Linked DNA regions of Caenorhabditis elegans. The protein of the gene in region 2 purifies or fractionates together with the protein of the main gene of each other region. This does not show direct contact. Each region holds a gene or a part of one and is shown on either strand. Other genes may lie near its edges.

Region 1 (4,839 bases), 4.4 Mb from region 2:
AGCCATAAATTGTAGTTTTTGAGCTTAAATAGCTGCTAAAATCGAGTTTTCTTGATATTTATCTTAAAAATTTGTGTCTTTCAAAAAATATATTGATTTTTACAGATCATCCCGCAAAAATGTCGACGAGAAAGCTCAACAAAGTGATGGTTCAGCCTGTGAACCTCATCTTCAGGTAATATTTTTTCACTAATCAGTAGAAAACAATTTCCCAAATTTCAGATATCTCCAAAACCGCACTCGGGTCCAAATCTGGTTGTACGAGGATGTCACCCACCGTCTCGAGGGCTACATCATCGGATTCGACGAGTTCATGAATGTCGTGTTCGACGAAGCCGAGGAGGTGAACATGAAGACGAAGGGACGCAACAAGATCGGCAGAATTCTTCTCAAAGGAGACAACATCACTCTCATCCACGCCGCCCAACAAGAAGCCTAAATCATCGTTCACTTTTCACGGATCTCTTTGTTCATTTTTCTGTCTCTGTTTCGCTTTCGCACCGTATTGTTCCAAGTTTTCAAGTTTTAATATGTCTTTAAAAAAAGTAAATTATTTTTGGCTTTTTTGGCACAAGTTCATTCACAGGACAAAGAGAGGGGGTGAGTGGATAAATATACAAAACAAAATATGGAAAATACGGCAAAATTAGGAAATAATAGTTGGTGGTGGCTGAGAGAAGAATCCATCGGGGAACACTTCAAACGCACCGCCCGTGGCATTCGGATCAATAGTCACATCCATCATGGGCATGCCATTCGAATTAATTGGTTGATAGTAGTATGTCGGTGCCATTGGTGCATACATTGGCTGGCTATTCATCAAATCATGTTGCTGTGGAATATATTGCACTGGAAAAGGAGCTCCTTGTTGAGCTTGCGGCGGTGGAGCCAAGAAATATGGCATTGGAAATGGCAGGAATTGTTGCTGATGTTGTGGATGATGATGGTAGTAGGCAATCGGCGGCGGACAATCGGAAGAAGGTGGCGCGTAAACCGTCGCATTCGCATTGAAATGTTGCATTTGTTCGACGTGAATGAAGCGGCATCTGAAAGGAAAATTTATTTTATTTATTTTTAATAAAAATTCCAGATTTCCTAGAACCTTGGACCATATCTGCAGTTTCCTCTCTCGAAATTGTGACAAATCTGACGACGATTCGAGCTTCCGTGGTTGTTGCTGGGTCTCCGATTCTGGAAGTAAAATATTGTAATATTTTCCCTAAATTTCACTTAAAAATAAGGATTTTTGCAACGTAAAACCTCAAAAATTCGCTGAAATTGACGATTTTTGTTCAAAATTTTGAAAAACAGGGTTAATTTTAGCTGAAAATCTTCAATTTTGCCAGAAATTGGCTTTTTTTCCGTCGCCACACGGAGAACTTGCCAAAAATGAAGACTTTTAGCCAATTTAGCCCTGAAAATTCGAGTTTTGGGCGATTTTTGGTCTGAGAAGCCGTTTTCGCAGTATATTATATTTTCTCGTTAAATTTCATTTTAAAATAAACATTTTGAACGTATAACCCCAAAAATTCGCTGCGCAATGGATGATTTTTGTCCAAAGTTTTGATAATTTTAGCTAAAAACCTCGAATTTTGGCAATTTTTCGTGCCGCATCGGCCGAAAGTTGACTTTTTTTGGAATTATCATAATTTAATGCACATTTTGGTAGTTTATCTCACATAATCTGTCTGCAGGCGGGAAAAATTTGAGATAAACTACTAAAAGATGCAAAACAAGGATGATAATTCCAGAAAATCAACTTCGGACCGTCTCGACACGGAAAATTGAGCGAAATTGGAGTTTTAAAATGATTTAGCCCTGAAAATTCGAGAAATTTAGGCGGTTTTGGGTCTGAAAAGGCGTTTTCGCAGTATTTTCTCGCTAAATTTCATTTATTATCACATAATATCAGTACTTAGGCGAATATCTTGTAGAAATGTTGGTTTTGTTCGATAATTCTCTACTTTTAGAGTCGATTCACGAGAAAATGTTGCACCATCTTACTTTTTTCCCTTGTAAAACATAGATTCTTCTGTACAATGAAAGAGAACACAATTTCTTCGTGAAGCAACTCAAAAAGTAGAGAAAATTCGAACAAAACCCAACATTTCTACAAGATATTCGTCTAAATAGTGATATAATGTGTTAATAAGCATATTTTAAATGAAATTTAGCGAAAAAACTGCGAAAATTTGTCAAAAAAGCGAATTTCCATCCGATCAGCACCTCATCATGATGCTTCGATGCTGAAGAACTCGATCGATTGATTGTTGTATCCACGTCGTCTCGTCTAGAACGAGAATCACGGCGCTCACGTGGTGGATCTCGGGAATAATACTCTTGGCGGCGTCTCTGAAAAAAAAATTTTCCAAAGATTTCCAGGCTTCAGACACACCGGAACTCTCAGCTCATCTTGTCCGTGAGCATATGTGCAATTGTCGTTGTACGGGCAGTATCCTTCACGGCGGAACGCATCACAAAGTCGCGTTTTGTATTCTGTGTGCTGGAAAAAAAATCGATTTTGCATATTTTTCAGTTTTTTTTTTAAATCAAAACCTTATCCTTCGCCGAGCTATGTCTTTTAGTTGCCGGCGCCTCGTCAATCTGAGCCAATGGAGTGATCTTGAGCGCTTCACGCTTTGGACGAAGCCATTTTCCACTATATCCGGACGACAGCGAATCATTGAATGATCGATTGATTTTCCGTTGATCTACTGAATTTTGAATTCTCGCCGGGCACGTCGCATTCAGAAGACTGTTCGATCGATCGGCAGCGAACGACGTGTCATCTGAGTTGTTGAGTGCAGCCATTTGCTCGGCAATCGGCTTTGTTTGAGCCATCTGGAAAAGAAAATTTGATTTTTAATTGTTTGGGAAACGAAATACTGCAAAAAGAAACCTAAAAAGTGATTGTAAAACTGAAAAAACGGCGAGAAATCCATTTTTGCCGCCGAATTTGGTTACGGTTGGTTTAAAGGCGCATGCCTAAAGTTTTATTTTCGTTGCGGGACTCACAGATTTTTAAAAACTTTTTCTTTATTTTTTGAAGATTTCTGTGTTTTTTCACTGATTATTTACAAACAAAGCTCAATTTTATGAAAGCTTTCAATGTTAAAAAATAAAATTATATTTAATTGAGAAGTGCTCCGTGCTGAATTTGGGGGCAAAAACTCAATTTATAGCGATTTTTATATAATTTCTTATAAAATAAAATTTTTTCAGATGTTTTGCAAACGAATTACTGCGAAAAGAAACGTGAAAAGTGATTTTAAAACTGAAAAAACAGCGAGAAATCTTTTTTTGCCTCCGAATTTGGTTACGGTTGGTTTAAAGGCGCATGCCTCAAGTTGTGCTTTCGTTGCGATACTCACAGATTTTTAAAAAAACCTTTTTTGATTTTTTGTTTGAGTTTTTCAACTTTTTCAAGCATTTTTCTCGATTTTTGATACATTTTTTGCTTTCAAATCCAATTTTAAAGCTATTTTTCCGATATTTTCATGTTTTTCACGCTATTTTCGATTCAAATGTGTCTTTTAATCGTTTTCCGTACGCTGAAGGTCATTTCTGTTGTCCTCACCAAACATTAAAATTACAAATAGTATCTCCCAAGCAAAAACGTTAAAAATCGCTTTAATTTTGATGAAAATTTTCCAGTATTTCCCAAATTTCGAACAAATTTTTTTTTCAGCAAAAAAGATTTTTCGGAATTTTTTTCTGAAATTTCCCAGATTTTCCAGTAGTTCACCCTTTTTCTCCAATGTACTCGTACTCCAAGTACATAAATATGTCGATTTTCTCTTCCATATCACTTTATGTGGCGTAAAGAATACAAAAAAACCGGTTTTTCACCTCCAAAATCGGGCTATATTCTGTGTGAATATACAAAGAGAAACAGCTTTTACATATGTCTTTTGACGCCATTTTTTCTCGATTTTATTTAAAGGTGGAAATTGCTTTAAAACATGCCTATGGGGACACAATGACCGAATATCATGATAAAAAAATTCAAAAAAATTGTCTAGATGTTATATGATTTTTTGAAAATTGAAAAAATCTCAGTTTTCACCTAATTATATTTGAATTACCGCCAATTGAACTCGTTGGTTGGAGCGCGCTTGCATTATTTTCATTAGTTATTTGAATTAATTTTCATTATTTCACTGATTTTCTTCATTTTTGGGGTTTTTTAATCGGAAAATGAAAGAAATATACAAGAAAAATGCAAAATCTTTATTAAAAAGTAACTGAAAATGCCTAAAACTCCGAGAAATACTAATTTCAGTTTTTAATAAACATTTTGCATTTTTCTTGTATATTTCTTTCATTTCCCGATAAAAAAAACCTCAAAAATGAAGAAAATCAGTGAAATAATGAAAATTAATAAAATTAATTAATGAAAATAATGCAAGCGCGCTCCAACGAACGAGTTCAATTGGCGGTAATTCAAATATAATTAGGTGAAAACTGAGATTTTTTCAATTTTCAAAAAATCATATAAAATCTAGAAATTGTTTTTGAATTTTTTTATTATGATATTCGGTCATTGTGGTATTACGGGAACATAAAATTCTGAGAATGCGTATTTCACAACATATTTGGCGCGCAAAGTATCTCGTAGCGAAAACTACAATAATCCTTAAATGACTACTGTAGCGAATGTGTCGATTTACGGGCTCGATTCTTGGAAAAATCCACGTTTTTCGAATTTTGACAGCGATACTCAATTTCTCTTCGTGTTTTCCTATTCCTTTGTCATTTTTGTGTTTATTTTTTAATATTTTACCTATTAATAAATTAATTTGATTTAAAAACGTCCAATATTCGTGTCATTTTGATGAG
Region 2 (6,250 bases):
GCAAACTTTGGGTGTGCATCCAATTTTCCCATAAATGTGAGCACTAAGCTTTTAGTCGGAAAAGTGAGCTACCGTAAAACTATTTTAGGTCGGTGGATCAGTTTGTGGTGAAGGTGCTGGATTTGTGAATCAACAAGGTTGTAGTATGGTCAATACACCAAATGGACCATGTTACTTTTGTTGTTGTAAAGGGGGAAGTTGTAATAATCCTCAGGTACGTTATTTTTTCAGTATGAGAATGGTTATGTATGTAGTGTCTTAAATGGAATTCGAAAAATGTACTGTTAAAAACTACTGAAAATAAGAATTTGATTTTCACTTGCTATAACCCCAAGTTTGAATTTTTCAATTTCCTTATTTTAATTACAGATATTTGCTCGAGAAGCTTCGAAACTTCCAATAAATCAGCAACAAATGCAAACATACAATCCAAATGGATATAATCCATATTCAAGACAAAATTATTATCCAATTCCTTGGTATAATACAGCTTCTCAACCTTCCAATCCATTTTTCCTTATTGTCATTATTCTTATTATATTTTTAATTCTCTCGTATTCTGCTTAAAATCATCGTTTTTTTTTTCTAAAGATCTCTTTTTTTTATTTTATCCCCAAATCTTGATGAGATTCTCCCATTTATTGGTAATTAATTTTCAATTCAATTGTTTTAAAAACCATTCATTATGTACTAAATTTCGATAATGCTACAGTACAGAATGAAGATGAACAGAAAAATTGCAGTTTCAATTGATATAACTCGGAAACAAAACAAATGCCATGCAAATGAGAAAAAAATTTCACAGACAAGTCTCACAGTGAGAGGAGGAAAGAATCAACAAGGGATGATGATGATGATGAAAAATTGAATTTCTCAAGTGAGAAAAACTATTGAAACCGGTGGGTTTTTGTAACTTTCGAGGAATTTTGTGCTTAACGATGGGCGTAAAAAGAATACATTGAAATGCTAGGGAATCGGGGTTTCATAAGCTAAATCTTTTCAAAAACATATTTTAGAAAGTAAACAACAAAAGGAAATAAAAATGAACAGATCAAATAAATTAGCAAAGAAAGAAACGGTAAATGGGGGCAAGGCAGAGATTTTGTGGATTGATATTCAAATATTGAGCCAAAAATAGATAAAAATAAACATCTGTAGCTAGATTTTTGGATAAGAAAGGAGATACAACTAATAAAAATACGAACTAAAAATAATTATTCTAGTTCACCATCTTCCAAATCCATATCTGAATTATCAGCACTTTGGAGCTTTGGAGCAGTTGGTGGTGTAAGCATTGGAGCCACGTCGAATGTTCGAGCACTAAAATTAATTTTAGGTATTTCTAAAGAAATGTATACATTTTTATTTCAAAATAAAATGTTACATTCTCCACCAGCTCATTCGAATCTAAAAAATTTGTGGCAAAGAATCAATATTTTCTGAAGGTTAATAAAACTCAGTTAGGTTTTTAAAAATTTTAAGTATGATTGTTGCCTGATGAATAAATATAAATAAATAAAGTATGGTATGATAATTAAAATAATTTTTTAATTCGAAACAAATGGATCTCGAACAAAATTTTAAATTTGAAATTACGAAAAGTTAGACTTTTGAAAAATAAATCTTCTAACTTAAGCATTTTCTAGCTTTCCCAGGAAATGCCAAGAATCTAGAAAACAGTGATTTTTTAAAGCTGTCTAGGATACAACGTATTTTTTAAACCTATTATTGTATCCGTTTTTTAAAAAATAATATTGCTCTAATGAAATGTGTACCTGGGCACAAACGCTGGCGAAACCGAAGAATTTGTATGATTATTCTCATGATTCTTTCGATTAATCTGATTTTTGTGATTATATCCAGATGACACGATTGGTGGTGGCGGAAAATTAAGCTGTGGAGGTATTGGAGGTGGGGCCAATTTTCCATTTGATGACGATGATGAAGATACGAAATTGTTGGCAAGTGGATCTATTCGAGCACGCTTTTCACTACTGAAAATTCAATTAACAGTTATTTTTAAATGTAATTATTCACAATCTGAACTTTTTTTTTTGTAAATTGTTGATATTATACTAATAAGTATAATATACTTTGAAAAACATTTTTAATTAATAATATTCTGTGATACTTTATTTGTTCTAAAACATTTTCAAACAGTTTTCATTAATTTTCGATTTTTTAAAAAACAATTGACATAAAAATATGGTAACGTAAAATTTTAAATTTTAAAAGGTGAAACGAGATTCTAAACTTCAAAATGACCAATGAAAAAGTCTTGCATGCAATACTAGTTTTAGTAAAATATACTGTATGGTTTTCATTGGAGAATTTTTAAGACCCGTTTTAATATGAAAGCCGAACCTCGTTGAACTGTCAAGTTTTCCAGCCATTCGATCTCGTTCTCGTTTCCGACGTTCTTCTTCCACACCTCGTTCTTTGTTTAATCTGGAAAAATTAAACAAAATTGTTTTATTTTTAATATTCTTAGCTGGCTGTACTTATTTCAAAACAAATCTAACCTTTCAACTGTCAATTCATCTCTCGGAACGTATGCTCTCGGTCGTACATTTACTGTAGAATCAGGTACATGATGAACCATTGGACTATGACTTCTGGCATCTCTCGTACGATCCTGAATACGTTTTTTTGCATTTTCCTCGATATTTCTTAAAACAACTTACTAATTTCCGTACGTCTGGATTCTCCAGCATAGGACGATGTTCACGGAAGTCTGAAACTTTAATTGGAATGCATCAAGACTTAAAATTAATTTTTTTAAAAGTAACTTACTGAATTTGGAAGCATGGTGAAATTGACAGGAATTCCGATATGTTACAAGGAAATCTACTTCCATTTCTGAAAAAAAAACCATTTTTCATAAATATTTTAATAACATGTTGTCTTGCTTAAATAGGGATTTCGCTTTAAAAAAAACCAAAAATCGAACTTTTAAAACTGCTCCTGAGTACGCTCTAAATGATTTTTTTTTTAAATTTAAGCCTATTCTGGCAATTTCAAGCAAAATTCACGATACTCCACCGTAAATTCTATTTTTTTTAACGAAACTTTATACTTAAAAAAAAACTTTAAAATGTATTTTATTTCAAAAACATTCAGGATTTATTTTTACAGCTCAAAAACCTTCTCACTAAAAAATTGATTAAATTTCGAGCATCCATAAATCAAAATTTGATGCACTTTAAATGTCGTTTTTTTTTGTTAAATTCGAATTTTACGAACCTCTCAGCTTCTCGTTCGTCATTGTTTCGTCAAATTTCGCATACCACGGTGAATCTTCATTGATGAAATCGGCAAATAATCGCTCTATCTGAAATTTAGATTAATTGTTAATGATTATTTTACTTTTCAAAAATTTTTGGAAATCTTTCTCTAAGCAATTTTACTACCATTTTTTTCTAAATCTCACCCGGACATTGGCATAGGCTGCCATTAAATGAATAATTACAATAGACATTGACGCTGCAGAATATCGAAGTGACCAGTCTGTTACAGCTATTCTGAAATTTAAAAATTATTACATTTGAATTTATGATTTTGAAAACATACACGTCTGTGGCAAAATAGTAGGCGCAAGATGTCAAAGGTCGATAATGCTCTTCTGAAAATAATGTTCAGTTATTTGTTTTCTTTTCAAAATTAACAATTTACTTTTATCAACTTTTTTCATGATATCCAGAACATAAATATGAGGAAGATGAACGTTGAGATCGAATGCTGAAATTTTTATATTTAAAAGTAATCTGATAAAGTTCTTACCGATTGTCTGTAGAATCATGCTCTCCAGAAGAACAATAATTTGGGCTGCTTCATTCCTAGCCTGAAAAATCACGAAATCGGGTTTCTAAAGTTTGACCCGTGAAATTTGTATTGCAATTGTGCTTTCTAGTGTTTTTAGAAATACAAATAGGGGAAAAAATCTTTAAAAACCTTAATTTCTATACTCACAGTTTCCGTCGTCAATTGTTTTCTATCCTTTCGCTCCCGCCATACACTGATCACATGTGATAATTTTCTTGGACACTCCTGACTTTTACCCGCTAAAAATACACAAGCAGCACCTACGTCCTGAAATGGATTTTTAAAAATTTTTTCAATTTACGGATAAAGGTCTTACTCTATAATCATACTTTTTGAAGCTATGCAAATAATAAAAGCGATGCATATGTGTATGTGCAACGCAAAGACCCGTGTGACCGCTGAAAAAGCATTTTCAAGAACATTTTTTGATAAAGTTTTCGTTGTAAAAGTTACATTTTCATTTTTGGATCTTTAACATTGTTCAATCCATCTATCATTTCTTGGATGAACGCGGCGGCCATTTGTCGGGAGGCTAGTTCTTCTTCTCTGCTCATTCCTTCTTGAATGCTCGCTGTCTTTTTCATCTTAAAAATTCAAAATATTAATTATTGAGTTTTAATTCTAATTTTCGCACCTCCTCTTTGGTGAAGAGCCATTTGGTTGGCGCGGTCCGATGTGCTGGGGAAGCCGCGCCTCGACTCGACACCGACATCGCATTTGAGTTTAATTCTCTAAAAATCTGAATAAATTTCCAGAGTTCCCCAAAAAATTACACATTATTTGATTTTTCACTGTCATAAAATAAAAAATTCCGGTGAAAAGCTTCACAAAAATCCAGTTTTAATGTGAAACCTGGACGACACAAGCGCGCTCAAGCGGACGCGCTGCGTGTCGCGTCGCGGCAGGCAAAGCTTTTTTTCTGAGTCACCTACCCATTTTCAGCCGATTTTCAGTTAAATTTTATCGATTTTCTGTATTTTTCAAGCGTAAGTGTTGCATTATCACGTGCTTTTCAGCTCACATGTATTTTTGACATTGAACATTGAGTGAAAATCCTTTTTTGCATCACTAACACCATTTTTCCTTGTTTTCTGAAAAACACTGTTCATTTTTCGATTTCGCCGAAAAACTCTAACGTTTTTGTGATTTTTTAAGTAATTTAACTTATTTTGAACCAGAAAATCATAGGTTTGCCAAGATTTGCAACGGGTCCCGGGAGAAAATTACGTTTTTCTAGAGTGCTATTGCTAATTTTTATATTCTCGGATTTTCAATTTCTCAATAGCACAATTTGGATGTTCGTGTTTTATATGCGCTAATCAGTGGATCGATCTGTATTCGTGCAAATTCAGCTAGGTATTATCGAATAAAACCGTTCCAGAATTATGAAATATTTCGAAATTTAAGTTTATTCTGCTCATGTGATAGTTGTTTTCTAGTTTCCTTTATGTCTTGACGATTGTTCGGTATCCTGACCGGATATTGCCAGGAGATAATTCTGTAAATGGCCACTACGAATTTTTGTCTTTCCTAGGTAATATCGATTTTTGGACGCTGTCCCGTCGCTTATTCCTCCTTCTCCTCCCTCAGCAATTCCATTTCATTCATCGATTATTTGTATCTATTTATTGTTTTTATCGTGTTTCGTCGTGAACATTTGATATTCTTTTTTATATATTTTTTTCAGCATTGATCAGTATGTCGAATTCGAACAAATTGATCGCAGAGAAGAATGGGTCCAGATATGGCAGAATGATTCATCCTTGGCTCCGAAAAAAGCAAGATGTATGTTTTCTTTTTATTTTTCCAATTTATTGGTAAAAAATTTCCCAATTATCCAGAAAAAGTAAATTTTTGGTGGTTTTTCGTAAAATAATTTTCCGGGTCCTTGTGCTCGTACATAAAAACTCTAACATATATTTTCATCGAATTGTATTTAGTACATGCTGACATTAGAATTTTAGGAGATTCCACCAATCGGGGAACATTTGAAAACGAGCAACACTAAAAAAAATTCACTGATGGTTGTTCAAAATTTTCCAGCATTATTGGGACCTAATCGATAATACCGTTCAGTGTTCAAATGTTTAATTTTTAGATGTTGGCGGACACTCCAAGTCGACGAGAAGGAATGACATACGAGGAGGAGCTGTCAAAACGACAACAAGGAGGAGTCTTCATCTTTGACATTGCCATGCAATTGACACATGGCAAAGGAGAGCAGTGAGTGCAGTGATAGGATAAAGATTTAGAATCGAGTGAATTTCAAGTGAGGCGAATTGTAAAATTTAGGATTTAGATGGGTTCATATAGTTTTACAATTCATAAAAACGCCATCTCTTGTGATCATTTCTTTCGCTTCCTAATCTTTTCGAGACAATGTCTTGATTCTCTCCTCATCGAGCACTGCGATATATTCCAGCGGTCT

What was found.
Region 1: the proteins of cit-1.1 (region 2) and pie-1 purify together in Caenorhabditis elegans (affinity purification with western blotting, with the first as the bait; one study listed by BioGRID). This does not show direct contact.

Annotation. Positions count from the first base shown.
Region 1 is NC_003281.10:12,424,895-12,429,733, reverse strand, and holds pie-1 (Pharynx and intestine in excess protein 1), read right to left. Parts: upstream 2,842-4,839; coding exon 2,557-2,841; intron 2,504-2,556; coding exon 2,396-2,503; intron 2,353-2,395; coding exon 2,227-2,352; intron 1,192-2,226; coding exon 1,103-1,191; intron 1,047-1,102; coding exon 647-1,046; 3' UTR 539-646; downstream 1-538. Other genes in the region: snr-6 (putative small nuclear ribonucleoprotein E), read left to right, coding at 120-175, 223-439. UniProt on the Caenorhabditis elegans protein: Maternally provided pie-1 is required for germline cell fate determination. Functions as a repressor of RNA polymerase II-dependent gene expression in the developing germline. Required for expression of nos-2 in P4 germline blastomere cells.
Region 2 is NC_003281.10:8,005,269-8,011,518, forward strand, and holds cit-1.1 (Cyclin-T1.1), read right to left. Parts: upstream 4,554-6,250; 5' UTR 4,535-4,553; coding exon 4,457-4,534; intron 4,407-4,456; coding exon 4,276-4,406; intron 4,221-4,275; coding exon 4,139-4,220; intron 4,090-4,138; coding exon 3,970-4,089; intron 3,842-3,969; coding exon 3,781-3,841; intron 3,739-3,780; coding exon 3,673-3,738; intron 3,623-3,672; coding exon 3,571-3,622; intron 3,522-3,570; coding exon 3,431-3,521; intron 3,332-3,430; coding exon 3,244-3,331; intron 2,860-3,243; coding exon 2,794-2,859; intron 2,735-2,793; coding exon 2,685-2,734; intron 2,636-2,684; coding exon 2,523-2,635; intron 2,449-2,522; coding exon 2,365-2,448; intron 1,995-2,364; coding exon 1,776-1,994; intron 1,321-1,775; coding exon 1,215-1,320; 3' UTR 665-1,214; downstream 1-664. Other genes in the region: C06G4.6 (uncharacterized protein), read left to right, coding at 1-36, 89-214, 370-567; cit-1.2 (Cyclin-T1.2), read left to right, coding at 5,521-5,607, 5,921-6,045, 6,245-6,250. UniProt on the Caenorhabditis elegans protein: Regulatory subunit of the cyclin-dependent kinase pair (CDK9/cyclin T) complex, also called positive transcription elongation factor B (P-TEFb), which is proposed to facilitate the transition from abortive to production elongation by phosphorylating the CTD (carboxy-terminal domain) of the large subunit of RNA polymerase II (RNAP II).